3 linked regions of the Lonchura striata genome follow. The main gene of each other region encodes a partner of the protein of the gene in region 3 in a complex. Links are inferred from orthologs where the notes say so. Each region holds a gene or a part of one and is shown on either strand. Other genes may lie near its edges.

Region 1 (9,772 bases), on a different chromosome or scaffold from region 3:
TTTTTTCCCAATGGCTTTAAAGTGAAATGACACTCTGCCAGTTACTAAATACAGCATCATCACCATTTTATTTAACCAATATGCTGCGATTTCCCATTCCTGTAACAAAACACAAGTACCAGCAATGCTGTTCCCAGGCAGAAATCACAAATCCTCATAACAGGATTATTAATCAGACATCAACCTTCCACAGTCCCAAAGGCCCCGGAGTATTAATCAAGATGTTTATGATTTCTTGTTTTTCTGAACCTCAGGTTGTAGGATTTTGACAGAAAGGTTCAATCTACATTCTGCTCCTTTTTTAACCCCCGGCCACAGGAACCCACACGTACAAGCAAACGCCTACGGCTACACAGATAAGCTATTCAAGTGTAAAATGACATTTTATAAATTAAACCACAGAACTTCCAAAAAACATGCAATTTCCTGCCTAAACTGCAACTTTTCTACAACACTGGGTAAATCCCCTCCTTCTACAGTGACCTCTAAGCCACAAATAGGTTTTGAGCACAAAGGCTGGAAGCAGGCACAGCCGGAGGGGTTTGTTAACCAAAAAACAGAACTTTACTTGTTCTGTTTTAAGGACACTGAAGATAACCCCAGGGAAGAATATAGTGGTTTTTTTTTTTAATTTCAGACTATAGGTGAGTTATCACTGAGGTCAGAGAAATCAAGAATACCTCAGCTTAACCATGATAAAACCAAACAGAAACGTTTTCATACTTACCACTTCAAGGAAAGTAAGCTAATGCTGCTTTATTCAGCATTATGCCCTGGAAAAAATATCACTAATCCTGGCTTGAGGTAAAAATTGTAATAGCTTTGGTAATAATTTTCTGTGCCTCTGCTCTCTTCATTAAAGATGCTTTCACATTTCATATTAACCCAAGCTTTTTACAGGCACAACCACTCCTGAGCAATTCCTATGTGACCTAAGAATTTGCATTTCCTACAGACTTGCTGGAATATAGCATTATCTGACATCTTTCTTGTTCCTGTGGATGAGTATTTTCATACAAAAAAAGCTGTGCCAACCTCCCACCTTATTCCACCAGGATACAACAGCTATAGTTGCATTGACCAATAAGGTGATAGGATACATGAGAAGTTCTAAATTAGAAATGTGTTGAGATTTGCACTTAAAGGCACAGCTAAAATCTTCCTGTTTCATACTCTGATTACACCTACATTTGTTATCCAAAACTGATACAGTGATTCTTCAAAAAACATGTCAGTTTTATATATTTCTATAAGTGCACAGATCATATTTAAAATGGACCTCTGAAGGTCATCTAGTCCAAACCTCCCTTCCACTAGACCAGGTTGCTCCAAGCCCCATCCAGCCTGGCCTTGAGTGTTTCCAGGGATGGGAATCTGGTGAACTAAGTTAGTCATCTGTTACAGGACTGGATTAAACAATTCTTCTGCAAATCATCAAAGGGCAGAAGACTGAATTTCCTCCCATGTTTATTTTGTATTCACAATGAAAAACAGAGAACTGCATAGAAATGGAAGCATTTTGCAGAAATATTGAGGACATCTTAGGTACGTACATTAAATAGCCCTATGTTATCCTTCATTTTAAGAATACTTGGATTGAATTTATTTCGATTTAAAAATTCAAACAAAAAGAGCTAAAAGTTATACAAACTGAAAAGTGTGCAAGGAAATCTGTTTCAGTGCACAGTATAAAGTTATATTTGTGAAATCATTAGATAATTAGATGTCTCATTTATTTTATTGCCAAGAGCACTTTCTGTTTTCCATGAACTATGGATGCCATTTTCCCCCAGCACAGTGGATCTTTGACACCCTGAGACAAGAAAGCACCATCCTGCTTTAATCTGGGGATGGTAACACTTTCCACTTTTGCAGGGCTGCTTCCCAAAAGCCTCCATCTCTAAAACCTTTCCTATGCCAGCAGCAGGTAGCACTTAAAGGCATCACTTCTTTTATTGCCACTGTTGATGTATTTTGCCTTCGTGCTCTTTGTAACATTTATCCCTGCCCTGATACATGTTGAATGAAATGGAGAAATAAGAATTTCCCTGTGAAAACAGTGTGTTGCAAACAACTGCAAAGTGTTACAGGCTTTGCATCTGTCCTGCAGGGCAGTGCCAGCTGTAAATGGCACAGTGACAGCACATGCCACTCCCCAGCTGTCAGAATTGGGCAATAACTCTTGGCTACAGCTGGTGAACATGTATTCCATGAAATCTGTGCTTTGCAGGCTGCACACACACTGTTCCCAGAGGTCAGGGGCAGCATGGAGAGCTGCTTCTGTGGGGTGAGCTCATTTCTAACAGGACTCGCAGCCAATTCTGTCCAAAGCATTTGGTCGCTGCTTCCAAGCAAGCACTCTGGGAATTTATCCTGGCACTTAGTAACATCACATGCTTATTGCATAGCTGAATTCCTAAGTTTAAGACCTTAGGGCGAAAAAAAAAAAAAAAAAAAAGTATCTAGAAAAGAATATTTAAGGAAATGGTCTGAAAACGAAAAAGCACCAGAATTACAGACATGTCAGACTAATTCAAAATAAAGGCCAGCTGTGTTCTATCTGCATGTTCTTGGGTTTAGGTCAATGACTTACAAGTTACAAGTGTGTTTACTACACAAATAGAACATAAACACTTCCACAGAATCTATTTTTACATTGTTGAGGAAGAAGTCTACAAATAGTCAATCACATATTCCTGAATTGTTTATTTTGGAAAATAGTTTTTGTTTCTGCAGCAGTGGTTTGGAATTCATGCTGTTAAGCCCAGGCTTTCAAAATGTTCATTCTTCCTTTTTCTATTGGTAGGCAGAACAGCACTCACCTACTTCAAAGAGCTGGGGAAAAATCCCCATATTTTAGAAAAAATGCTGTATTTTAGAAAAAATGCTGTGAGAATCATTAATGGATAGCAGAAACTTAGAAGGATCCTTGCCATATTTGATTGTGTATGTATGTGCTAATTCCCATGGTTGAAAAAACGTCTCTGTAACTTTCATAATTAAATTAAGTCATATCAGGTTATTCTAGTGTGACCTCTGAAGAACTGCAGAAGTAGAGTTGCTGATAATTTTGCAATTAGTAAAATAATAATAAAACATATGCTGTGTGGTTTATGCTGAGTGGAGGGGACAGATGAATTTCTTGCTTATTCAAGAAATAACACAAGAAACCTTTTGTCTTGTATCAATTAAAACAGCTTAACATTTGGTTCCCAGAGAAACCAGTTGCTTATAAAAACTGATTGACAGCTAATTAGACATAAATATCTTCCCAGAAGAATCAGTCAGCTGTTTGTTTGGGTTGAGCACACGTGATACTTATTACTTCCTATTTTTCATCCAAATCCAGCAGCTGGTACCTTGTGACTCACAAGCAGGCCAGTTCATTCTTGCAGTTCCTCACTGCCTTTCCCATTAACACACTTAAAGAGAAACTGCACATCAGCTGGTATTTTCCAGTACTTACACTTAAATGTCTTTACCATGGACTCTGGGGTGTTTTTTTCCCTATATTCACTATAGAATGTTATGAAAATCACTGATTTCACCAGACTAATGTTGAGAACAGCTAAATAAATTTCTATCATGTCATGGCCTGAGTAAACACTCCAGAATATATTCATGTTTGGAAAAAAGCCAAAAATTGAGGATTTCACCCAGGAAGGACATTCCTGTGCAACTGAGACAGGACCAAATATTAGTTGTAGATGAAGTTACACACTGACTTAGAATAATTTAAGAAGTTAAGCTAAACGACAGATGTCTGCACTTCACCCATCCTGCCTGACATAAGCAGTTGCTCTAATGGATTGAACAGGAACAGCTTTCCCATGTGAATGATGTTTGACTGAAACGTGAAAGATTTTCCAAATGCAGCCTATTTGTCCACAACAGGAAAATTACTCCGTATTTCAAGTGAATTAGAAACTTTTTCTCCCCAAATAACAGATTTTTAAACCCAAGCCTTCAGCTGATGTACAATTCAGAAAACTCATGTTGGACCTGTAAGATTATCGCTGATATTTCTGCTTTCCAAATATAAGTGATGTTTAGATTTTAGAAAAAACAAGTTATTTGTTGATGAAATTGCCTTGTTAAAGTCTAGGGCTTGATAATGTTTTAATGATTTCAGACCTAGCAGAGGTTAACAAAGTCTGAGAAAAAAGGATGCCTGCTGGCGGTGGACACAAAGAATTCAGAATTTAGGGGCCATCTGGCAAGAACTCCCAATATAAGAAGAAACAAATGAAGCCAACTCAGCAACTGTGCTGAAATCAGCTCCAAGTGGGTAAAAGGTAATTCTGGCAGGTGGAATCTGCAACCGCTGACATAAGAAACCCACCGACAAGAAGGAAAGACTGCACATGCAGACTTATTAGCTTGACAAGTGAATTATTAACCAATAGAAGACAGAACACTAATTATTAAGAGAATTATGTAACTTGTAGGCAGTGAACGTTAATGTCTGTGTTTGCGGAAACGTGTACGTAGTTAAAAGCTTTGGTGTGCTTGATCTGTGGAAACCACTTTGCATCCTGAGCAGAATAAACGTCTCCGTACTAAACTAAACTCTGTGTCTGTGTTTAGAGAGCACCTAAAATCGGTAACACCTCCCTGCAGACGTTCCAAACCCACCTGAACGCGTTTCTGTGTCAGCTGCTCGAGGTGTGTCAGCAGGGTTTGGCCTGAGCGATCTCCACAGAGGCTCCTTCCAACCCCAAAGCTTCTCTCACTCTGCCACAGCCGAGGCTCAGCACCGGCGCTTTTGGGGCAGCGCTGCCCCGAGTGCTGCCATCGAGAACCCAGACGTTTCCTGGCCTCCCCGAGCCCGGGGACAGCCCCCAGGGGAGCCCTGTTCCAGCGAGGGGCTCCCCTGCCCTCCCCGACCCCCTCATGCAAGGGGCCACGTCCACCTCACCCATCGCGGCCCGGTCCAACTGCATCCACTGCGGCTCACCCACACACCCTGGAGCAGTTCACTCCTCTGGCCACGCGAGCTTTCTGCTCTTTCCAAGCACCGCTAAAGTGAAACAACCAAAGAAACATCGAACGCTCGTACTTCAGCAGCACCCGCGGGCGGAGGCGCCATGCTGAGTACTGGCAGCGCGCCGCCATCTTGGCGCGGCGCTGCCCTCACGGGCGGGGAAGGGAGGTTTAGAGCCCATCCTCTGCGCCATGCTGAGTACTGGCAGAGTGTCTTGGCGCGGCGCTGCCCTCACGGGCGGGGAAGGGAGGTTCAGGGCCCATCCTCTGCGCCATGCTGAGTACTGGCAGATTATCCTGGCGCGGCGCTGCCCTCACGGGCGGGGAAGGGAGGTTTATGGTGCATCCTCTGCGCCATGCTGAGTACTGGCAGATTATCCTGGCGCGGCGCTGCCCTCACGGGCGGGGAAGGGAGGTTTAGAGCCCATCCTCTGCGCCATGCTGAGTACTGGCAGATTGTCTTGGCGCGGCGCTGCCCTCACGGGCGGGAAAGGGAGGTTCAGGGCCCATCCTCTGCGCCATGCTGAGTACTGGCAGATTATCCTGGCGCGGCGCTGCCCTCACGGGCGGGGAAGGGAGGTTTAGAGCCCATCCTCTGCGCCATGCTGAGTACTGGCAGATTGTCCTGGCGCGGCGCTGCCCTCACGGGCGGGGAAGGGAGGTTTATGGTGCATCCTCTGCGCCATGCTGAGTACTGGCAGATTATCCTGGCGCGGCGCTGCCCTCACGGGCGGGGAAGGGAGGTTTAGAGCCCATCCTCTGCGCCATGCTGAGTACTGGCAGATTATCCTGGCGCGGCGCTGCCCTCACGGGCGGGGAAGGGCGCATCCTCTGCCCTCACCCAAGATGGCCGCGGGCGCGCCCGTCCGTCCCTGAGGCGGGACCAGCGCTGAGGGCGCGGGGCGCGGAGGCGGCGCGGGTCCCTTCGGAAGGCGGCTGGAGCCCGGCAGGTACCGCGGGCGCGGGGCTGGGTGAGGGTGAAGGGCAGCCTCGGGTTCCCCACGCGCGGGGGGACAAAAGCCGCGGGTCGTGGGTGGGTTTTGGCAGGGTCGGTCCCTGGCTGGGGAGGGTCTGAGGGGGAAGCCAGGCTGGGGTGGGAGCAGGTGCAGGCTTGGGAGGTAAAGAAAAATGAGGTCTGTAAAGAAAATTCAGCTGATGTGTGGTCCTGACTTGATGGCTGCTGGTGGTGGAGATTTCAAGGGGTGAAAATTTCAGTTCTTCCAATGGGTTTTGCTTGCTCTCAACCGAGAGCTTGGAGGAAGCTTGAGAATGTTATTTTGATGCTGGAGAACAGTTCAGTGTCACACTTGACAAATTAAAACAAAATTGAGTTTTGTAATATAAAACTAAAGAGCAGCACAAAAACACCTCTTTCTCTGTCATCATAACATTGTTGTAGTAAAACTTTAGTATTTGCTTTAGGGTGTGTTTATGATTTATTTGTTAAATGTAACTTTAGAAGCTGCTTTGGTGCTTTTTATTCCAAGGTCTATCTCTTGCAAGCAGCAGCCTGTAAGAGACAATGAACTGATGTTGAGTGTCCAACATTAAACCAAAACTGGCATTTGCCTGCTTGAACTTCCCTAAATAATTGTGGAGGGAGATATCAAAGTTTGAATTAATGGACTTGACTGGTATCTGTGAGAATTATGTTCTAAGTAGGGTGTAATATTTGTTAAATACAGTGAGGTTTCTGCAGTGATCCTGATGTATTTTATAACTTGGATTTGATAACAGGCACGAGAAGGCATTGTAGATGCAGAAGTATTTTCCGGTATATTGAGAACAACTCAAAGGAGTCATTTGAAAATTAAAATTTGATGCTTGACATCCGGAGGAGATGGAGCCTGTCTCATGCTTAAGTGCTTTTGGCTCTTTCGGTTTCAGATGCTCTCAGATGTGTTGCTAAGAGATTAAAATCAAAGTCGCGGGTGCTTTTTGTTTAACTGAAAAGACCTGGCTAAATCTGCTCCCCTGGAGCTTTGTGTCCACACTACCAGATTTGCAGGAGCATCTTCTTGTATCCAAGGGCAGCTGGATAACTAAAGGACTTAAAATCACATATTTGCCTTTTGTGAGAACTTGGATGTGTTCAGACCTGCTCTCTTCGTGTTTTCATGGTTATTCAAAACCTGATGAAGGTTGGCATTTTATGGAAACCTGTTATCATGGGCAGCTAACAGCAGCTTGATGCCAGCCTCCTTAAACTGGTTCTGTGGGACAGGCTGCCCAGAGAAGTGGTGGAGTCACCATCCCTGGAAGTGTTCAGAAAACATGTAGGTGAGGTGCTTAAGGACATGTTTTAGTGGTGGACCAGGCAGTGCTAGGTTCGTGGTTGGATCTTAAAGGTCTTTCTCACCCTAAATAACTCTTGATGCTATGCTGTAAAACAGTAAAAATGTACTGAAAATGCTGCACGGGATTACCCAGCTCTTACTGGTTTTAATTAGTACCTTTTTAGTCTCTGCTGTTTCTGCCTAGGCTGAAGGCATGGTCTTGTTGAGGACAGACAAATATGCTCTTGGTTGTATTCTTGAGGTGTCTTGGAAGATGGGGACATCATCTGTGGCATTATGGGATGCTGGCAGTGCTTGGCTGTAGCCCTTCCTGGGATGGGATCCCATGTCAGAGCTGCAGAAGGCTGTGCTGTCCTGCCCAGCTCCCAGACTAGCCCTTCACACAACACTTTGAGCTCACAGGAAAAGAATCTTTCCATTCCCCTTACTGTTTTATCTGTTTGAAGGGCTGCATGAATGAGCAACAACGCTGTTCCAGGTTCTTGTTTTTCACATTTTTCTTCTGGAATCTGATTACAATAGAAAGGGACTTTTACCCCTAAAATGAGAACTTTCTTCCAAGAGTTCAGATTCCTGTTGTTGTTACGCAACTCTCAACATGACAGTTTTACTTTGTGGTTGGTTTGAGGGTACATATTGCTCTTCCTGTCCAAAAAGACTGTGTTCTTACCCTGGAGTATCTTTTATAGTCTAGAGTAAGACTTGGTAAATACTGGAAGGGAAACTGGTGAAATTGTCAATGATTTAAATTTTTGGTTTTGTTTTTGTTTTATTGGTCCAGTGAAGTTTAATGAGTCAAACTGAGCTGTTGGGAGTTTCTGTTGAAGATGTACATGTTGGTTGAAAAACGCACAAATTCCCATCTTCACCTAAAGAGGTCACCTGGCATCCGATCCTGGTCTCTGTGTGTTGGTAAGGCCACAGCATTCATTTCAGAGCTTGCTTTAAGGGAAGAGGGTCACAATAAACTCCTGAAGTGCCCCTAGTGAAATGCCTGCCTTCCAGGCATTTTCCTTTCCAGAAGAGGAATGATTGTGCTTTGAACTCTTCCTTTCTCATAGCCTCTAAATGAGTCTGAAGCCTCAGCATGGCAGTTTCGCTGTGAGACTTTCAGTCTCATCTGGAGAACCTCAGAAGCTCATGGATGGAATTTTAAGAGACTCCTGAAAGATCAAGAACAGAAGGTTTATGTGCCATGCAGCAATAGAAATGTGAAGCTTCTGAAGGGGCTGTTAGGTTGAGAAACATCTTTTTATAGGAGTGGAAAACTGCAGTGTGGCCATGCTGTATGAAATGGGAAGTCCTACAGGATATTCTGAAAGGCATCTTTATAAACACTGCTGAATATGCAGGGAAAATCAACTTGTTAGGATTGTACTGAGAGAGCTGCTGGGGAAAATCTGGTCTATCCTGCTTTCCAGCTGAGCAGATCCCACTGCAGTAACACCACGTTGTCATTGCTTTCAGGGATGTTGTTGAGAAGATCTTTGCAGTTGCAGCAGCCTTTGGGGCATGGGGCACTCTTCAGCTGCTTTCTTCTCCCTGAGAGAAAAGAGCTGCCAGTTTCTGACACAACTTTACTGCAGAAGTTGTCTTTTGGCTCCACATAGCACTTAAAGGGGAAAATAACCATTGTAAGGTTTGTGTGAGCACTCTAAGTTGTACTGTGCTAAGAGTAGTATGTGTGGTGTAAGTATGGTGTCATGGTTCGATCGAGTCCCTCTGAGGTTCTGTTCCCAGTTAATGTCACAAAATTTTCATTTCTGACCCCAGCCCCTGTGCTTTTAATGCTTTTGCAGAATGGAAGTTTTTTTTAAATACTGAGAGAAAAAAATAACTTTCATATAGTGATCTATGTTGCAATCACATTTGTCCTGTTTTTGCAAAGTGATGTTTTTCATTAGGGAATTTTAGATGTTTTTTGAGCTGCTTACTTGTCATAATTCTCTCCTCTTTCCCCCTAGGAATAGCCTCCATAGGTTTGGCTGCTGCTTATTATAGTGCAGGTAATGGCCTATCGCTTTTTTGGGTTTCTTTCCTATTAATCTGTTTTTCATGCTGATGACTCACCTGCAGCTTCTGTCTGGCTCTTCAAAAGCAGTGGAAGTTCCTCTCCCACTTTGTGGTGTGAATATTAAAACCAATAATAACTGTTGCCTTTATGACTTAGTGTGCTTTATTCCTCTATTTCTTACTCAGCCTCCTTTTCCATTTGCAAGTGTTTTTAATAATGATATTGGTACTCTGTGGCATTTTGTACTTTCAATGTTTTATAAATGTGATTAGCTGGTCCTCACAGCTCTCCTGGGAAGACAGGTAATGATTATTTGACACCATAATGAAATGATTACTTTTTCTGTGATGGAAGTTTCTCTGGAAACTGTCAAATCATCACTATCAGAGATTACTCATCCAAGCACCTTTAGGGATGAGACAGTTTCAGCTGCTTCCTCCCCCTGCAGTACAGCAGACTGCACCAAATGCCAGCTGTC
Region 2 (10,485 bases), on a different chromosome or scaffold from region 3:
GGCACATGTTGGGTTTTGCAGTGAGGGATGGAGATGTAGCTGAGGGAGGTAGGGAGGAGGGGCAGGGAGTGTGACCCACCGTCTGCGGGTAAGAGAGTGGCCTCAGCCTGTCATAATCCTCTTGTCCAGCAGTATCCCACAGTCCCAGATTTACAGGCTTGCTGTCAACCATCACATTGGCAGAATAGTTATCAAATCTGAAATTCAGAGACATAGGCCATGGCTCAAACAGTAGAAGAGGGAGCCCTTCCAGTAGTGTAGGTGGGGTTCACTAGGTGCACCCAGGAGCAAAGGGTGGTGATTCCTCTTCTCAGCTCACCTGGGTGACACTGGTTTCCTGTTAACCTCCACTTTATGGAATCCTCACTCATCAACTTCCTCCCCATCATTCAGCTGTTCTGGACAGGTGCCTGGCTGCAGCTACACCTTTTACACCTTGCATGCAAGTTCACAAATTGTTTTCTTTTCCCATTTTTTTCCCCAGTATCCTTCCCACAACTGTGTCTGCTCTAGAGCCAAGCCCCTGTCTTCTGTGTTCTAAAACCTAGTTTTATTCTGAGAAGTGAAGAAGAATCCGTGTCTCTGTAGTTTGCTGCACTCCTCAACAGCCCTGCTGGAAATGAGAACAATGCATCACATCACCCTTTGACAACTGAGCTTGAAATATTTTAGAACAACTGTCAGGATTGCATGCTTAGGAATAAAGTCTTGGTAGGAAAAAAAAGGATAATAAAGCAACAGAGAAGTTCCTACGCTCATCCTAGAAAATTTTATTTCTTGGTCCTTTTGGTTCTTTTTTCCCAGATTAAGGGAAACCAGTGATAGGGAGGAACCACCACAAAGGTCTTATGAATGTGTTCATGGCATCTGCACGTTAGAAGGGACATGATTTAGTAGAGGGCCTGGCAGGGCTTGGCTAGTGGTTGGCCCTAATGATCTCAGAGGTCTTTTCCAACCAATTCTGTGACTCTGCTCCATGCAGAATCTATGACTGTTTCAATGACAGCAAGTGCTTTGGACAGAGAAGGAAGCAGGGTCCCATGTCCATCCATCTGCCTTCTCTTGGGTCTGTCCCAGTTGTTGTAACCTAGTGTCTCTTTGTTTTGGCCAGTAGGATCCCATCTGCTACTTGTAAACTTAGCAAGCAAATAGACCTTGAGTTGGCTGGAGGCTCCCAGATATCCCATTTACACCAGGGTTGTATAAGGTTGCTTCTTGTGAAAGGTAACAGATCCAAAGTTAGAGAGCCCTTCACTGGGTTTCCTCTGCTTGGCATGGAGATTGTGACCCATGGAGTGCACATGACATCACTGAGCCCCTTCACATCCTGCCTCCCACCCACTCCAGGACCTGTTTATGAATTACTCACACAGTGGGGATGTATTCTCCTGGGAAGGCATTGGTGGTATAACTGATAAGGAGACAGGTTTTTCCCACAGCCCTGGAAGAGAAATAAAACAATGGCAGGAATTCATGGCAGCGCAGGCAGTCTTGCTAGGGTGAGATGGAGATGGGGCAATCCTCCCACACCTCTAGCCTAGCTCTATCTGGAGACCTCTGGAAGCAGAAAAACATTCACAGGGCTAGACAGTGCACAACAACAGGTTAGAAACCTGGCAGGAAGAAAGACAGGATGTTGCCCAGAAATATCTGTTGTTTTTGAGCATGAAGGCTTGTTTATGGTCTAGTACAGAGATTACTCAGGTAAAACACATCCACTCTGAGATGGAGGTGGGAGCCCATTTTACAGTGCATGCAGAGTGCTGTAGGCTCTCAGCCAGGACAGGTGTATTGGCTTGGTGTGCCATGACAAAGCTGCCATGCCAGCTTCAGCACTCGAGTACAGGCACTCCTGCCTGCTTTTCAGCTGCTGTGGCCAGGAACTGGAAACAAGTCTTTTACTCAATCTTTCTTATCTACAGCAAGCTGCAGCAACACCTGCACAGAGAGCTGTAAGGAGCCAGAAAGCTGCCTGCCCCCATGGCTGATGGAAGTTGCTGGTGGTGTTTCTGAGATAAGAAACTGGTGCTTCCTCTCTCCTCAGCCTCCCCCACAGCCTGCTGCAGAAGGGTGGAGTGCAAGGTAGCAACACAGTGCAGACTGTGTGAGAGCATTGGTGGGATAAGGAGCAATAAGGCTATCATGTGGGGGAAGGTGCTGTGGGCAAGCTGAAGCCTGTGGTGAGGGAAAGAAGTGCAGAGAAACTGGAAGAAAATTAAGCAGCCAAGACAGGTGTTGGAAAGGAAATCCTTCTCCTGCTGGGATGCTGTTTCTCAGGTTTGTGTGGCCTAGGAAAGCTTGGCCCTTTTTCAGTTACAGAACACAGGCAGGTGATAGCAACCTACCTCAACTAGCACAGCCCAGAAGTGGGGAGAGGTCTTTTCTGGGCAAAGGTTGGAATTCTGCTGCTGGAGACTCTCAGACCATCTCAGCTGCAGCTGCAAAGTCCCCTACCACAGGGCTGCAGCTCTGCCTTTTTGTGTGCCCTTGTCAGGTCTCAAGGCACCTGCCTCTGTGGCTGGCTGCGGGGCAGCTGAGGGGGAAGCTGAGCTCTTCTGACATTTGTTTCTTCCTCCTGCCAACCCCCTTTCTTAGATCCTCCTCTCTCAAACCCTGCACTTTCCCCAGGTGTCTTGCTTCCTTCTTATGGAGTTACTGAGGGAGGTGAAGCTCTACAGGAAATGCCTCAGGAGATCGATGGGCCTGTGAGTGGCTCAGTCATGGATGAGGGGGAGGTTCTGAATTTGTGTGCTTGAACAGAGAGCTGTGCAAAGGGTCAGTGAAGGGGTGAAGGTTACCACACAGAGGTGAGGTTAGTGGCATCTGCAGGCTCCTGTGATTGAACCCAGGGCATGTTAAGAGGTCAGTGATCTGTGATGGAGCGGTTATAGTGGGAGAACAGCAATGGGACAACACGTGAGCTGAGTGATAGGAGAAGGTCCCGTAGTTGTTAGGGTTGAGCCAAGAGGGTGACATTGCTGGCATGGCCAGGAGGGAGGTGAGGGGTGAACCAAGAGCTCGGAGCAATGGGGGTTGTGTTGCAAGAAGGTGAGAGGTGTACAGAGAAGCAAAATGATGAGACAGAAGACATTTAAGAGGAATTGAGGTCCTAGACATTGGGAGCAGGGCTGTTACTGAAAGGTAAGGCTTTATAAAGGCTTTACCTATTGGTAAAACAGGACATGTGGTGGGGTTAACCATGATGTGAGGAGATGCTGCCTTGAGGGAAGGCTACACAGTTGGTGCTCTGTGTGAGGGGCAAACAGGATGGGGAATTGGGTAAGAGATAAATGCCCAGTGGAGATGTTAATCCAGCTCCAGTTTAAAGCCTTCAGGGACCTTTCTTAGAGGTTACAGTTTTTATTTGGGGCTCTGTCTTTCCTCATGCCTTCTTCCCACCCCCTTGCCCCAGCCCCTGAGAACATGTCTGACATGTACGGGTATGTGTGCAGACATCTTTCCCAGGCAAGGTCTAAAGAAGGAAGTGATTGTAGGGAGCAGCACTGCTGTAAATGTCTCTTTATCTACTACCTTACAGCTGCCCCAGATAAGTCTGGCCAGCTTCTAGGTGGAAAGAAATTAAGTTATTCCATTTCAAGCACAGACTCTCCTCCTTCCCTCCCTTGCATTTACTCATCCCACAGGGCAGGAAGGTGCTCTGCCCACTGTATCCTTCCTGCCCCAGGCAGCAATGACTACTTAACTCATTGAAGTCTTGGATCAGGCCTTTTCCAGGCATCAGGGGACATGGGCAGAGAAGCCACCATGTTGTGAAGGCAAGGTTTTGTTAGCTCCCACTCCCAAAGTGGCCTATACTTTTGCCTATCTCAGTAGAAAGAGCTCCACAGAGGGCCCTTTCCAGCAGTCTCCAGCACACCCCAGTACGGAGCTAACCTGCTGAGAAAAGCTGGAGATCCTGACAGACATCTTGCCAGGACCAGAGTGCCATGCCCTCTCCCAGTCATTCCCAGTGAGCACATGGCTTTCAAGGAGCCATTCACCTGCAGGAGAGCACTTGCACCTGATGGGTTTTAAATCCAACTCCTGCCTACAAGTTGAATCTGGCAGGAACACCATCACCTCCTGTGTGTGGGACAGATCTGCTCTACTTCCCATGAATGCAGATGGAAACGCAGATGCATGAGCAGCACTTCCGTGCAGATGCCCTGCGAAATGCCCTCTTTCCACGCTCCCTCAGAAGAATGTCCCTTGCCCCGGGGAGGGAAGAGCGAGGATGTCTGCAGTGGTAGCAAGCCTGCAGGAGGTCAGAAGCAAAGCGGGGCCAGCCTCAGCAAGCATCCACTGTGCTCCGTGCCCCGGTCAGAGCCCGTCCCGCCCGCGCCCCCCGCACCCCGCACGGTACGTACCCGTCTCCCACCACCACACACTTGATGGCTTGCATGGCTCTGACCCGTGGCGGAGGACGGTGCCCGAGGCAAAGGGAAGTCAGGCCAAGGCAAACAGCAGGGAGGGATGGGCAAGTGTGGGTCTGCGGACAGCAGGTTGCAGGGAGGGAGGAAGTGGAAGAGGGAACTTCTCTCGATCGCCCTGCGCTCCCTCCGCCCCTCCGCCGCAGCGGAGCGCGGTGGCAGAGGCCGCTGGCTGAAGGCGGGGCAGGCGTGACTCCTCGGCCGGGGTGACGGCTGCTGTCACAGCTCTCGTTCTCCCTGCCTGTCTCACCCGCTCCCTTCCCACCTCATCCCAACGGGCAGCGGGGGGCACCAAACTGCTTTCCCAGGGGAGCTGAACAAGGGTTAGAAGCGGGGTGAGCATGTGGAAGGGTGGGTTTTCTCCTCCCTCCTTTATCATCCAAGCTTTGGAGGAGGTGTTAGCAGGGAAGGGACTCTGAAGTGGGAGTACAAGGGTGATGAGGGGTAATGAAGGTTTTTCAGGTCTTCACAGAGCCCCCAAGTGTCAAGGGTGAAACATCACAAGGAACAATACTGTGAAAGCTGAACAAGGAAGTCATGCAGCCTCTAGCAAATAGCTGCGACCCAATGGCTGCTCTGTTCCTCCTCTACTGTGGGCAAAAAAAGTATTGCTGCACTTACTTACCTGCCCAGACTACTAGTACATCCTTCTCTTCTTCAAGCTGAACAACCCCAACTCTCTCAGGCAGTCCTCACTGACCTCAGAAAAGGTTTTTAGAGCTAAGCATCGAGAAGAAGAAAGCAATCACCCTAAGAAAGAAGAGACAAGAGCAGAATGATCTCAGGAAGCTCTACTCCTTTCTTTATTGAAATGAGGGTTTGCCTCCTCTTCCTTCCTTCTCCCCCCATGCAACATAAAGCCTCAGAAAGAGTTTATGTGTGCACATCTGGGTGGTCCAGCCTGACCCCATGAGTGGATGGGCAGGAGATGGGTTTTATAGAAGAGAAGATATGGTGGCACAGAATTAATTAAGAATTTCCAGGCTTTGCCTGGAGACCAATCAGAGCAAGAACAGTGGTTTTGCAGCTGGGATGTTCCTGAAGGAAGGAACTCTGAGTAAAGCGCTTCTCCAAAGGCTGATGACCTTTGTGCTGTTGCAGCCACAGGAAGCTGTTGTGACTGACCTGCTCTGGAGGAGAGTGCTCCCAGCTGTCACTCAGTGCTGGCTACAGCCCAGAAACCTTCAACCATGGAATGTTAACAAGTCTCGTCACTATTTCAGAAGTACAAAATGAGCAGCTGTACGAGGTGTTCCCTCTGTGGGTGGTAGGGAAACGGGAGGAAGGAAACCCTCTGACAACTCTGCAAGTGAGGGCAGAAATGGCACACAGGAATCCAGGTCAGAGAAGGACATAAGAGAGAGGGACAAAGGCTTTTACAGAGGGGAGCTGGAAAGGACAGGCAGGCACAGAATATATGAACTCAGTTGGAAGGCAGGTGTATCAGGCTCTAGAGAATGCTACTGGTGGAAAGGCAAAAGCCATTCTAGGACCTGGTGGCAGGGATAAGCAAGGACCACTGACCTGCTGAATGCCTGAACACCAATGTTTACTTTTGTCCTGGTAGTCTGGCACATGTGTTTGTAGGACTGGCAGTGTGGAAGGGACCAGAGAAGATGACCAGTTTAATTGGTCAGGGAAGAGGGACTGTTGTGGAGAACCCACATACAGATGGGCCCGATGTCAAAGACACTGTAAATCTGCATGTCCAGCAATGAGCTATGAAGTCCTGTCAAGAGCCCATTTCTGGGCAAATTATTTTTGCAAGATAATTCCCTGCAACTGCAATGGACAGTCAGCTCTTGTCCAGTCAAAATCTGTGCTGTGAATCTATAAACATCCTTCCTTCACCAGCAGCTCTGTAGAGGGACAACAAGGATCTTTCAGGATGTTTCTTTCCATCATATTTAAATGGGATTAAATGGGATTATTTGATAATGGGAAATTGCACTCAACATGTACAGTAATCACTCTAAGAACAACTGGCACCTGCTGCATTAATACCTTTCATTTGTACATACTGCAGGAAAAGGAAGGAACCTGCAGGAAACAGGCTCATAAACCTGGACTGAGCATATGCAGATGTGTTGCTGCTGCTCTGATGTCCTCTCACACCACCAAGAGGTGCTCTTGACTTGAGTTTCCTTCTGCATGTGCAGCAGGGCAAACATCTGTGGTTTCTTGTTCCCTTTGCTGAGTTTGAGGGAGATGCTAAAGGGAATTAATTGCTCAATGAGACACTTTTGTTCTGGGAGGTTTTCAGGGCCCTGAGCTGGGTCACCTCAGAGCGACCCGGATGTGCTGGGTTTGCATGGCACCCATGTGAGACTGCGGAGCAGGGATGAAATGCATGATACTGCTTTTCCCCAACAAGGATCCAAAGCAGTGAGGACCACCTATCTCTCCCTCTCTTTCTGTGGTGTTTTGCCCCCTCAAAGATGATGAAATAAAAGTAAGGGGGCTCTTTCAGAAATGGTACTTGCATATCACAGCCCTGTAAAGGAGGGCAGAGGCTGAGCAGGAGGCTTGTCCTTGAGCACAGACAGAATAGCAGGGAGAATTCCTTCATGGAGGCAGAAGAGTGCTCATTTCTTTGCACACACAGGACATGGTCACAGCATGTCTTCTCATCTCCCGGGATTTTTTTTTCATGTGACCTTTCTCTCAGGCAGTCCTGAGTGGCCATGAGAACTGTTCTGTGCATTGGGCGCTCATCTGGGTAAACATTAATTTGCTTCAGCCTGACTGGACTGCAAACTGTCCCACTTCCTATATTCCTATTTTGTTCCTTCCCACTTCCCTTTTTGACACAGCTTCATATCATCTGTCTCCTGCTTTTAGTTCTTGCTTTGCTGCTTCTCTTTTCCAAAATTCCTACTCCCTGTTGCTGCTTCCCCTCCCCCGTCACTGCTGCGGTTTCTCAGACTGCCACAGTTGCTTAAAAAGCCTGTCTTGACTTAGGAGCTCAGATCAGAACTGAAATGGGCAATGATGTTCTGCAGTCCCTCTTAGAGAGGCTGTGGAATTGTTTCATACAGGGTCTGTTTTCTGATGGGGCTCTCTTCTCCAGCCTAAATTTTTTCTATCAGACAAAAGCTTAGAAAAAGAATGAAGTTTCCAATCCAGCCTCACTGAAGACACTGAAGCTATTTACATCCATCATAAGCAACTCAACTTCCAAAAGTGCTTGCTTAGTTTTGCACCTGTCTTACTCATGGGCTGTTCTGGAGACCAGCCCTACTGTAATCAGGGGGAGGTGGTCCATTCCTGACCTTTTGTTGCTATTGGACAAAAAATGAGTACACAGAAGCTTGGTAAGTTCAAAAGAGAAAAAGACACAGTTTTATTCAAACATCTGGTATTTATAGAATTCTGAAGGTTACCGTGGATTGGAGAATGGAATTACCACCTCTCCAGCCACACTGGTCCAAAGATCAATCAATCAATCATTTCTCTCCACCCACAGAGAAATATGTAAACTATTCTATTTATATATGAAATTGTGTGGGAACTCTCAAATATGTAAACATTATCAGAAGGCTAAAGAAGTTTTATGAGAACTTTAAAACTTTCAAAAGAACTATAAAATAAAACTTAACATTTTAAAAATCAGGGCAACAGCCTCGTGTCATGGAGGCTTTGTCTTCTGAGTGTGACTGCTCCCAGCCTTTCCACTTTGGGCCAAAACAGCAGTTCTTCTGCCATCTTCCTACCTGGAGCACTGAAAGGGGTTCACCTCCTCCTCATCTTCATCTTTTCCCTTATGGATCTGAGTAAGCAGAAGAGCATGGCACAAACCTTTAGGCTTCACGTTCTTTGTGATGGTTGTTTCATACTTGTACTTCCTTCAGTTGAGAAATTGTTCACAGACGCTAAGCCTTACTAGGGTTTTGTGGCTTGGCCTTATCTGGTTCTCTGTACTTCTGCAGGTCCCCAGCGATGCTGATACGGGTTTCCATTTGCAGAGACATTTTACTATCAGCCAGTGACAACCCCCATCTTGCTGATATGAGTGTGCCACTTTAATGGCAATAAATACAGATCAATATCTGATTGTGCATTCTTTCCCACAAGGTGCTTAGACAGGTGAACAACATTTTTCACCTGCCTGTTGTAGAAGGTAACAGGGACTAAAGATTATATGTATCAATTCAAACTTGAGTGTCAGCTGCATGACTAGATTCCCCTCCCTGCTAGCACTCTCTGTATATTATCAGATGTTAGATATACTGTGTTTCATAAATACAGATCTAATACATATCTTTGCTTGTAAGAGATGATGTCTTCTAGGAAGGCTGCACCAGGGAAGTGAAAAGAGCTGTTTAGAGTACTAAGAAAATCTATAGCTACTCTGTTTTACAAGACTAATATTTCCTGAACTACCAAAGTAAAATCTTGTGCTTCCCTTCCACCATTTTATTTCAAAGGCATAAAGCTTCAATCTTGCTGCACTTTCAAGTCTAACAAAAAAAAAATATAAATTCCTCTGGCTCTTCATTCAAATTTATCAGACTCTAAGTGACCCTTCTGTAATCTTTATAAGAGGGTTTCTTCTTGCCTATGGCCTTTTATAATCACCATCTTTCTACCTTTAAAATAGACTCCAGTCCCTAAGCCCAAACTGAATGGCAGCCTAAGCCTCCTGAAGGGGCTATTGAATTTGAACAGACCTGTACATTGTTGCTCTGTGGAGACTTGTGGGAATACAGTTGACATGTTCAGCACAGAGAGATACATGGCACTTTGTCCCTGCCTTTATCCCCTTGAAAGCAGTAGGAAATATTTATATGTCCTTTTTATTTACACAATTATTTTAAGCCTGTACCAAGCATCAGAAAAGTGCATGCACATTATTGGTTTGATATTTTCCATCATGACCGTCAAACAACAGATATTTCCAGCTCAAATTTAAGTTTTTGTGTGCAGTCAGGGAGCATCTGGGGAGAAAAACTGGTCCATTTCACAGGCGGCACAGGGAGTAATTCCTGGAGTACTGGTCTGCCCATGCTTGATGAGGTGAGAACTGTGGAACAGCCTGGATACCCCCTGTGGGAGAACCCACATGCTCTGAGCCACTGGCTATGGGCAACTCTGACCACACTGTACAGCATTTAAACCTCATTTTCCCTAGGATACATTTGATCCTATATCCCAAGGGCATAATTAATTTCCTTCTTTCCTTTCTTTCCTTTCCTTTCCTTTCCTTTCCTTTCCTTTCCTTTCCTTTCCTTTCCTTTCCTTTCCTTTCCTTTCCTTTCCTTTCCTTTCCTTTCCTTTCCTTTCCTTTCCTTTCCTTTCCTTTCCTTTCCTTTCCTTTCCTTTCCTTTCCTTTCCTTTCCTTTCCTTTCCTTTCCTTTCCATTGTCCCCCCACCTTTTTTTCTTGAAATAACGAAAGTTCTGTTTTGTAGTCCATTCATGGCCTTTTCATGCCATGACCACAGAATATGGAACATGTGACACCTTAAGGGCATTTGCTGACACATTCCTGGCTGGGGTAGTGTTGGTATCCATCTGAGCTGACTACAGCTCTGTATTGCCTGTCTGGGATGCTCAAGTAGACTGACTTCTCAACTGGTTCAAGTTTCCTCAGGAGAAGAACAGATTGTATTACTCCATGGTAAGCCTAGAACTGAAGTAGTTGGTCCACCATGAGAATTAGTGGAGGACTAGGGACCACAACAGAGAGGCATATTTTCCCTGAACTTTGGAAAGAATGGGAAATACTCTAGGGTTTGTTTATTTACATGATCTTGTCTGTTGTGTACCCTCATGAGAAAACATCTCACAGGTGCTTTGTTTTCACATGACATAGACTCAAGCAGTTTTTTATCAGTGCATTCCCCACTCAGACTCCTCTGTCTGCAATAACTGAAAGCATTTGAGGTCCATCAAATGTTACAAGCAAGGCTACCAGACCCAGAGGAATGCAAGTAGTGGAGGTGATCATTAAACTGAAATAGGAGCAAGGTCTCCAAACAGGGCATTCAGACATTCCAACAGACAGGCGGGAAAAGCTTTGAGAAAGAAACACCAAGGAGCTAAAAGATGAAGGAA
Region 3 (10,250 bases):
TAACATCAGTGACAAACAATAGATATGTGTGAGCACCAACAGCTTCTGCCAGCCAAAAAATGGACTTTGCATCCAGGGCAGGACCATGCCCAGGAGGCAGCTGAAAAGGGAGGACTCAAAGGAGACTAATTCAAAGCTAAACTCTCAACAGAGCTCTAGATACCCCATGGGCATTAGACCTCAGTCTTGCTCATAGCAAAACTCCAGCCTTATCTGCTTCTCATAAAAGGACATCCTCAAAATATGGTGCATTTGGGGAACTTGGACTGAGTTCCTTGGTATATTTGCAAGTCTGTTTAGGTATGAAAGATAATATCTTTCATAAATGTTGAAATTCTTTCTTCATCTTACCGCACTTGATCCTCTGAGGAAGGAGAGCAAGTTTCGACATACTGGCAGCAGAATCAACATGCAATTGAAATTCAGGCAGGCTGCAGGGGCTCTTGCAAGAGCCAGAGCACGCTGTAATTAGAGAGATGCTGCTATTAATTGTATTACCTAAGACATTATCCAGGGCATGGACAGGTACAGATTGCATTTATGCATTATATCATAACTGGTAAAGAGTTCACATTTACACCGTGAATGTTCAAAGGAATCGTGCTCTGATCAAGTCAGAAACAGGCAGAACACACTCCTGCAGACAAACAGACACCTGTTTTCAGTTTTGAATTAATATGATTGTATAAAAAGCTCCCTGTCATGTCTGGCATTCAACAGGCAAACACAGGTGCAAATCTAAGCCATTAGTAGAGGTTTTGTGTCCCAGGGCTGTAAAGAGTCTGTGGTTTCATTTGGTGGGGGTTATGGACAACTTACAAGAGAAGTTCTCTGTCAGTAAAGGAGTCTAGGGAAATTTGTTGCCTCAGCTTTTAGGAATCTGTTTCCCTAATGCTGGCCTTTACATCCTTAATTATTTAAATTTTTTGAACTGTTCAAAGTGAAGAAAAAAATGACCATATTAATCAAAATGCAATGAAGGGAAGAAAAATAATGTTTGCTCTCCTTGTATGGATTGAGACCTTTTAGGTTTTAGAGCACAGCTGTTTGGGTTTACACTGAGCTCTCCTTATCCAAGCACAAGTCTCTGTGACTTCAAAGGCAACTGCATCAGGATTGCAAAGCACAGGATTTGATCCACAGACCAGAAGCCATACGCAGAATGGGATTTCATGCTTTGTAGAATTAAACCATGGTTTTGCAAACCTTCAGCAAAATGCTGTGCTCTGTAATCTGAAGCTTAGGCTGATTTTTATGCCTGTGATCAGGGTTTTAAATATATGAACAAATTAATTTTCCCTGTCAATTGGTCGTGACCTGTGGTAGCTTTGGAAGCAAGTTTGTAGTAGGACACATAATGCTGCCCTAACCAGCTGGATCACATGGAATAGCCCAGGATCCAGGATCACTTCACTACCTGACTACCACTTGCATTCTTGATGAATATATGAATGATGATTGCTTTTCAGAGCCAATATCTTTATAAACTATTCATGCTCTGAAAAATAATTGCAAGGAGAAATGACTGCACAACAGTTCAACAGCAATATTTTATTCATCTTTTGCTTAATAAAGTAGCCACAATAAGTGCTTAATTTAATTACTAGGAACATAATCATTAACTGAAAACATATTTAGAGTGGGATCTCTCTATTATGTGCCAGCTTTCTGTTCAGAAGCACTGAACATCTGCCTGCAGTTATCTGCTTGCATGTGATTTCTACAATAGGCTGCTGCTCCAGCCACTAGATCCAGTTTTGATCAGCTAAAACTATTCAAAACTGCTGTGTTATTATTGTCTGTGACAAAATAATAATGTCTTATACTTACGCCAAGGAGCACTCTGGTGTAGAAAAATTTTGGTGGGACATCATATACAAGATAGTACCACCAAAAGAGGAAGACATTTAAGCCCAGCCACACAAGCTGAAAGAGAATTAAAAGGAAGCTTACAGTTTGTTGTTAGAAATAATCCATCTGAATTTACACAGTTCAGATAAGAGTCAGTTACTTCCCTGTGCTCCTGTTTGCACAGAGAGATGTACTGCAGGGTATAAAGTTTTCAGCAAGGGTGATAGAAATCTTTCTGGTATAAACAGGCTCTGATTTGTGAACACAGGGTACAGGAGTGGCAATAAACCAAAACACAGCAATGTGCAGCTGAAAGGTTTTCTCAGGTCAAGGAATTTAGGGTTGGTTGTATCAGGACTGTCATATTACAAGTGTTTAATTCTGAGTCCAGTTAAATCTCTAAATACCATTAAAGGTTAGGGACTCTTCCAAATGGCAGTTCCACTGGCACATTAACCTATGTGAGAGGAAGACTTGGAAGTTGTGACAAAGAAGCTTGACATCTAAATTTAGATAGGCTAAATTACAAATAGGGCTGAATTCAAGAAGAGGGTCTGAAATCAGCCAGCAGGGAATATTCAACACAGGCCCTTTGGCAGCATGTAGACTACTCCAAACCAGGCTTCTGTGTAGCTGTACCACAGAATTTTCTCACACTTACACATCCTGAGGTGCAGGCTCTTTAGGGAAAGACATGTTATTAACTCTTAGGCATCTACAAGTTCACCTGGCAAAAAAGGTCATGATGAATCTGGGTATTTTTTCTCCTGGAGCTGGTGGGCTCATTTCACATCCCATACCCAAACATATCTATATGACTGCACTCGGTCTAAGTAGTTTTAATAAGTGGTGCATGAAAACAGAGAAAGTCTGAGAACTAGGAGAAACCCCAGAAAAGGTGACATTAAACTTCCTTGCACCTCCTAAGTCATATATTTTGCTAGATTTTTGGCTTAAATAACACTGTAAAAAACACTTGGGATTATTTAAAATACTGAAAATGTAAATAAATACTGGGAAATGAAGGGATTTCCATCAAGGTGAGGCAGTATATAGGAAATCCCCAAGTCCTCATTAAAACACCAAGCTCATCTCAGGATTAAGTGCTTAGGACACTTATTAAAATGACAGAGTGTTTCTGTTTTGTTGAAGTACATCAGTAGGAATCGTGTTTGACCTGTTTCTGTCAAGCAGTGGACAAACCTCTGCCTGTTCAGTGTACAGTAAAGATGTAGAGGCTAAAGCAGAACACTTGGGTGGGGTTTCCAGTGGTCTGTCCTTTTAGCTGATTTCTTTATGTCTCTTAGTTTCCTTCCCTGTTACCCTCTGCTTGTTACAGCTTTGAGGTTCAAAAACCAAATTCCTTTTTTTGAGCAAAATAAAGGCCTCAATTAATTCTTTTAATATTTCAGTTCTGGTGGGGGAAAAATAAAAAGCCAAAAATCTCTTGTCAGTTTCAACTTCCTCAAGTCACTGAAGGTGACAGCAAACACGGTCACTCCCTTTCAAAGCACTGAAGTGCCACAGCTCTGGGATTATGTTTTTAAATTACAAGGTCATGTGCAAGTACTGACTGCTCATAGCAGCAGAAATGCCCCTTGGAATAAAGATGCTCACATTTCGGTCACCAAAAATATACAAATTCTGCACCTTCTTTTTCTTCCTCTCAATATTTACATCTACTAACAAAAGATAATCACAATATCAAAACTGCTCTTACATTTTGGTTTTGTACGTGTTTTTAATACATATATGTATATGTACATATATACATGTATATGTCTAGTGGTATACCTTTATACTGTGACATAAAAAAAGAAAACACTAGAGTATAAACTTAATTTTCTCCAAGGAGGACTGGGATTTTCCATACTTTAAAATCTTGATCAGAATTAATTTAACCTACTTTTGCAGTCCCTCTATGCAAACTGTAAACAAATTCAATTAAAATAATAGCTGTCTTATTGAAGGATTCATGAATGTCTGCTCTAAATTCTTGAATCTGACATTAATAAAAATTTTATACCATCAAGACACTGTGCTTTCAGTTACACCCACTTCTGTTCATAAAAGTGCAAGAAAGGGTGATTGTTTACATTGCTTTCTCTGTTGAAGTGCACATAGTTAAGTGGGTTTTAAAGTTGTTTTGCTTAACTAAAGTATTTCTAACAAAGCAAAGTTAATACACAATAATCTCTCAGTTAGCAATGAAGCCAACAGCAACTGATATACCAGAGAGCTCCTTAAAAATGATTCCCTTGAAGCCTTTCCCTGCACCTGCTGCCCCAGTTTCAGCATAATCAGGTGCATCTTTCACTGGCACAGTGAGAAGTGCTCAGCACAGCTTTCTGTAGAACTTTTCACCAGACACAAATCACAATAAAAATTGGACTTACAACGACGAAGATGGACAGTCCTTCATTCTCCACCCAGTTCCCCATGGCTGCCTGAGATGTGTGTGCACAGCAGCCCTGCTCTCTCTGGGACAGCCTCTATGTCTTCTCTCATGAGGAAGTGAGAGCAAAAGGTTGCAGCACCCTGTTTCCTTTCTTATTCATTTGGGAAATAAGTAAACCATTTAATCATGACCCCAGTTCTGCTCCAAATAGGTGTCTACATCTTCACATATAACATTTCATAACTCAAATACGTATAAACTGTTGAAATAGATTTTTTCATTGTGATACAAAGGAGAGAATAAATTATATAAGTGGTCAGATTTTCTGCTAAAAAATGTATTGCCACTTTATATAACTTTTACAGCTGAAGTGTAACATAGAAAGCACAGAAGAGTTACCTCTGCTCAGACCTGTCTCTTTTTAATCACCTCAGGACTGAGATGCAGATCATGCTGGTCTTTGTTGATAAATAATCACTAGTACTATTTCTCTTCCAGTAATTCAATGTCCATGGAAACTTCGAAGAGTAATCTAACATTCCTTTTTGTCTGGTACATTCAAACCTCACTAAATTCCTTCCAAAATTCCTCTTTGTTCTGGCCAAAGCTGAGGACAAATGTCACAGGAGAGGTTTTTTTTCATGGTTTTGAGTCTTGCAGAATCCCCTTTGTTGGCCATCCCAAATGGATCACAGAATTATAGAATGATAGAATGCTTGGGTTGGAAGGAACTTGAAAGATCATCTACTTCCAAACCCCTGCTATGGGCAGGGAAGCCACCCACTAACTCAGGTTGCTCAGTGCCCCAACCAACCTGACCTCGGATGCTTTCAGGGATGGGGTAACACTTTCAGGGATGCTGGATGTCATCAGAGGGTCTGGTGCCCATATTTTTGTTTATGGAGGTATTCTCTGGAAGTTAAACAGTTGGAGTGGCTAGGGAAGGAGAGGAGGGAGGCAGTTCTGATTCATGGATGTCCATTCTTGCAGTGAAGACAAGCCTTCTCTCCCTGCCCAGGAATGGCAGTGTTCTCACTGCCTTTTTCTTCTCCCTAGCTCAGGGTAAGTTACCTGTGCCCTCTCTAGGGTAAGCCAGTGCGGGTATCCAGGATGCTTTGAGCTTCAGCAGCTTTACCTTGCCTGGAAGCTCCTCAGGCACCACAGCCCCTGAAACGTGGATTTATTGGCTCAGGAGATTTCTGGCAGGCAACAAACCCAGAAGGGGCCGATCTCGGATCAGTCACAGCAGTCACAGCAGTTGCAAAGTCTGAGGTCCTTTTGACAGCGTGAACACAGATAATGGAACAGAATATATTTCAGCTGCCCTCAGCCTAGCAATTATCAAATGCAGTAGCTGATCTCACTGCCTGAACTCAAAAGAAAGGGCAGAGGTGCTGGGCCCTTCCACAGCTGGTGAGTTCTGCTGCTCCCTGATGCTTGTGAGTTTTCTGTTACCTCTGAAAATGACATGGCAAGCACAGCAAACTTTGCCTCTTGCTGCAAGTGACAAATTTGACAAAAAATGATACCAAAACCACCCCCTCATCACCCCTGATTTAATTCTGATTGTTTCACTTTCTAAATTATTGAAATATTTTTGCTATTATGAAAACCTGAATGTTTTACACTTTGTACTTATTTGGAAAATGAATACTGTACAAGGAAAAAACATGTTGTCTGCTGCGTATTAATTATGTAGGAGTGTAAAACTGAAGTATGGAAAAAAATAAATGCTATCTCACTCTGTTTATATAAAATCTGTTTCAAGCTACTTGATTACACAAAGCGTTTTTTCATCCTTCTTTGTGCTCAGAAATTCAGTCAACACTGATCCTTTTGCAGCATGACAGTATTGTAAAAGTATTCATGTCTCAGGGTTCTTCCTTTCCTCACAGTAATTTTACCTCATTGCTCAGGAATTATTTTAGCTCCTCTCCTGCTCTGCACAACAATGGTCTGTGTGTTGCTGCACAAATTTAACGCCAGGTGTTTGCAATAGGCCTAGGGGTTTCACACATGTCCCTAAAAGGTACAATGAAAAATTCTACAAGTAAAAACCCCAAAAGAGAGAGTGATGTGAAGAACAGAGTGAGAGATCCAGCTCCTCCTTCTCCCGCAGCAGGGGGAAAGCCAAGTAGAGACCTTGATTAACCTCTTCTATTTTGAAGCCTGAAGTCTTTATTTTGAATGCTGTGCAATCACTGTTTACCAATCTTCCCTTGATTCTACACCAGACAAGGCACTTGTCAAGTTGTCTTCTCTGAAAAGACTCCACATGCAGCCTGAGGCTGTCACTCTTTGTGTTTGCCTTCACTCCAGGGAATGACATAGCCTGAAACTTCTGCTCTTTCTGTTTTGTTTACAAAATAAATTATTCCAAGCTGAGAGAGCAGAAAAGGAAATGTGAATATGAGCCAGGGAAAAACATGTCAATGAGACTCCAATGACTGGCAGATCCTTCTAGGGCCTCGCTTTACAATATAACTCCCAATGCAGTTCCCTGCTCCAGTGCTTCCTCACACTGACTTGCAGTCATCGTGAGAGGCCCATGTGTTGTATTAAAAAAAAAAAAAATCAATGTCTGGTCCAGATGCTGCTTGCCACACTGGTCTTGCCTTGAAGTCAAGCGGCACCACCACAAAATGGGCCAGAATGGCTGCACACTGCTGTGTTATTGGAAGGAAGAGACACCACCAGCAACATATCCTAAGTGCAGACAGAAATTTCATCTCAGTAAGCAGGCAGTAGTTTCCGGGAAGAGCTGGACTAAAGCTGCAGCAGCATAACCTCCCATGTATAAAGGCAAAGGTAAAATTAACCTGCCTTTGCATAGGACTGAGGGAGGGGGAGCCCAGATGGCATCCTTTGGACAGGGTACCAGTTTTATCATCTGCTAATGTGGCTCTGGAATAAAACCATCATCTGTTTGCGAGACTGCTCTTCCCAGGGCTGCAGATCCACTTCTTTACACTTGCTGGGGATAGCCCAGGGTAACTTTGCTCTGCCTGGAGAGATGGACTCCACCAGCGATCTCCCGCTCAAGAAAACACCTGGAGGGATGTGCGAATAGGTTCGGCAGTGTCTCCTGTGCCCGGCTCGGTGGTTCAGCAGCCCCGCGGTGCCACCCGCTGGCAGCGCCGGCCCCGCGCCGCTCACGGGGGAAGGAGCTGGAATCCTGCTCGGTTCATCCCAGCCTCTCCCTCCGTATGCACCCGCCCTGGTGTCTCCTCTCCTGCTGTATCCCTGCTCAAAAACGCTTTCCTGCTTTTCCCTTTCTCTTCCAGCGCTGCGCTGTCAAATCCCATTTCTAATTAGCAGCTCCTGATCACAGCCTGGGAAAGGACGTCCAGAGCTCCTTAGCTCACTTCGCTCTTCCTAATAGGATCTGCTGCAGCTGTATTACTCCTGGCACACGTTTGCATCCCCGTTCCACAACCAGAAATAAAGGAGGTGCCTCCCAGCCTGCTAGAGCTGCACTGTGGTAGCTCATGCCATGGTTTCAGCAGAGCTCCACATCCACAGAAATATTCCAGCATCCCCCTTCACGCCCAGAACAGCCACCAGGTGTGAACACCTCAGTGCCCAAACCCTGCAGCACAGGACAACACTACAGGTCTTTACAATGCTGCAGTTTGTCTTCTGAAATACAAAGGAGTGCTGTGATAATTCTTTGGCTGATTTTTCTCCCTCCCAATCCTCAGTGTGGAGGTGTGGGGGTGACCCAACTCTGTCAGCAGATGACTGTCCACAACCAGACACCTGACAGACACAGACTTGGTTTTATGTTCATTTTCAGTAATATCAACAGAGGAAACACTAAGGAATGATGTCAGGCTTAATAGATGTGTCTAAGCAAGATAAAATTATACAATAAATCATGACACCAAGGAAGAGGCTTTTGCTTTAAAATTATCCTTCAGCTAGATTACTAAAAGAGAGTTCATCCTTGTGCCCAGATTTAAAATGAAGCCTATATGATCCTAAATCATACCTAAATTGCCTCTTATTATAGAATTACACTGTTCCAGCCACACAACTGCTGGATTTATATGTTTCCCTTCCTTCATTTTTCTTGATAAAGCTTTTTTACTTTATGATTTTCCCTGAAAAAAAAACTTGGGCATTTGCCTGAGACTATCTCACCTCTATCTGGCTTAAGTGACACTTAAGAGAAGTTTGGAAGTATCTATCCATCTCTTTGGGAAACTCAGTGAAGACACAAATGTCTGATAATTGTGTGTCCATAATTTAGGAATTGCACTAGGATGATTTTGTTCCAGGTTAAATTACCACTGGATGAGTAGTTACTAAAGCCTCCTGTTGTAGGACAGTTTACAGCAGTTTATTCATATACACAATCCCCTCCCTCCTGGCAATTTTAGCAGTTCCAGAGAAATCACTATGAAAAACAAAATTTCAGTAAGGGGGTTAGATTAGGGACTACAATTTCCACAATATTATTTATCAATTTGATTTCTTGTATTTATGACTTCTTAAGTTTAGATAGTTTAATAATATTCTGTTATTTTCACTGCTCAGGCTTTCAGAGGAGCAGCAATAGGCTGGAGGTACCTAATTTCTTTCAAAGTCCTGGAGGACTTTGAGATCCTCTCACACAGTTTTCTGCCAAAGCTTGAGGAGCTGTGTCCACTTTCATCAAAATCACAGTGGTTTACTGCTAGTTACAGTGACTTATGACACTTTCTTTTGCATTAAGGGACACAATGTCATCTCACTGAGACTTTTGCTACCTGGCAGGGAGAGTCTGCCAAATCATACTCCAATCCTGTGTCAGTATTTTTTCTCCTCATACAAATACACTCCTATACATGCTAAAATTGCATTTAGTTTTCTATTACACTAGAACTTATTTTAAATGAGTGATACGCTTAAGACTATAAACAGTTTGTTGTTTTTAATTTTAGATTTCCCACTAGTAAAACCTGCCTTTCTCTGGTGATTTTTTTTATTTTTTTGCTTGAAGAGACAACTGCTCACTTGCTGTTGTGCCCTGGGAAGAACAGTGATGTATGGGTTATTAAGATAGCAGCTTAAACACATAAGCCCTTGACTGCTAAAGGACACTATAGGGAAAGTGATTGATAGTTGATGGCTAATGGATTCCTGCTTGGTGCCCTTGGGGGCTTCCATTGCATTTCGGGCCAATGGTAGATTACAGTGAAGAGTCAGCTGTCTCAGGCATTAGAGTTGTCTGATGAGTTAATGCTACAGCACTCTGAAGCCCTCCCTGAATTTGCCTTACCATCACTCCCCATGGTACAACACCAACATCCTTGCTGAGGCCCACATTTCATGGCTAGGCAGGAGTAATTTTTCACTTATTACACTCCTTGCCTGTTCCCACATGACAGCTTGTCTCCTGCAAAGTTTTCCTTTTTCCTTTCCTCTGAATCTGAGGAAGCTTGGTTAATTTCTGATTCACACAGCCAATAGCACAGGCAGCGTCCCAGCTTTCACCAATCAATTCACTTTTACCTTTCTGTAAAGAACAGAAAGGTTTTTTCAGCACATCACATCTTTTCAGCTTATGAAGAAAGATCAAAGCCGGAACCATCCAGATGTGGTTAAAAAAACTACCTGACACATTGCATGATCCATTTTTTTTCTTCCCATGCATAAGGAAGGTGGAATTGTGTAAGCAAATTGCACATAATATGTCAGTGGTAATATTTCTGGTCTGACCATTAGCACCGAAATTGCCTATTTGTGCTCAGATGCAGAATCAGACTAACGTGTGTACTACAACATATATCATACAAAAAATACACATATAATGACATATTTCTATATTTATATGTATTTCATGCATACAAATACATATAGTAGACATATAATTAAGACTACTGGTATTAAAGTAGTCAAACAAAAAAGAATAGATAATGATTTTTTTAGCATGATGCTATGTCCAAGATCAGGATGACCTTCACAGTTTCTGCTTCACTGTGCCTGGATTCCTTTCTGGGGTTTTCACTATTCCTCT

What was found.
Region 1: the proteins of CYBB (region 3) and CYBC1 are in contact, whole or in part, in a cryo-EM structure (PDB 8KEI), measured with the Homo sapiens proteins. The link is inferred for Lonchura striata from reciprocal best matches to the Homo sapiens genes CYBB and CYBC1. Residues at the interface, in NP_000388.2 of Homo sapiens: Trp28, Asn74, Leu75, Leu76, Ser77, Phe78, Leu79, Arg80, Gly81, Ser82, Ser83, Ala84, Cys85, Cys86, Trp206, His210, Phe212, Pro266, Met268, Trp270, Lys271, Ile273, Tyr280, Tyr324, Phe326, Lys328, Leu335, Glu336, Trp337, His338; in NP_001028218.1 of Homo sapiens: Arg22, Leu26, Ala37, Ser41, Gly42, Asp43, Trp47, Phe50, Tyr51, Phe57, Gln61, Asn62, Glu64, Lys77, His97, Asp98, Gln99, Val100, Val101, Val102, Leu103, Arg108, Ser111, Glu115, Val117, Arg118, Tyr119, Phe120, Arg129, Ala131.
Region 2: CYBB (region 3) and RAC2 share a complex: the UniProt entries of both Homo sapiens proteins name them as parts of the phagocyte NADPH oxidase complex. The link is inferred for Lonchura striata from reciprocal best matches to the Homo sapiens genes CYBB and RAC2.

Annotation. Positions count from the first base shown.
Region 1 is NC_134621.1:2,916,728-2,926,499, forward strand, and holds the start of CYBC1 (cytochrome b-245 chaperone 1), read left to right. Parts: upstream 1-5,794; 5' UTR 5,795-5,933; intron 5,934-8,061; 5' UTR 8,062-8,107; coding exon 8,108-8,192; intron 8,193-9,244; coding exon 9,245-9,286; intron 9,287-9,772. UniProt on the Homo sapiens protein: Functions as a chaperone necessary for a stable expression of the CYBA and CYBB subunits of the cytochrome b-245 heterodimer. Controls the phagocyte respiratory burst and is essential for innate immunity.
Region 2 is NC_134607.1:23,189,905-23,200,389, forward strand, and holds the start of RAC2 (ras-related C3 botulinum toxin substrate 2), read right to left. Parts: upstream 4,497-10,485; 5' UTR 4,403-4,496; coding exon 4,368-4,402; intron 1,442-4,367; coding exon 1,370-1,441; intron 198-1,369; coding exon 80-197; intron 1-79. UniProt on the Homo sapiens protein: Plasma membrane-associated small GTPase which cycles between an active GTP-bound and inactive GDP-bound state.
Region 3 is NC_134604.1:108,559,523-108,569,772, reverse strand, and holds the start of CYBB (NADPH oxidase 2), read right to left. Parts: upstream 4,430-10,250; 5' UTR 4,293-4,429; coding exon 4,248-4,292; intron 1,927-4,247; coding exon 1,831-1,926; intron 463-1,830; coding exon 352-462; intron 1-351. UniProt on the Homo sapiens protein: Catalytic subunit of the phagocyte NADPH oxidase complex that mediates the transfer of electrons from cytosolic NADPH to O2 to produce the superoxide anion (O2(-)).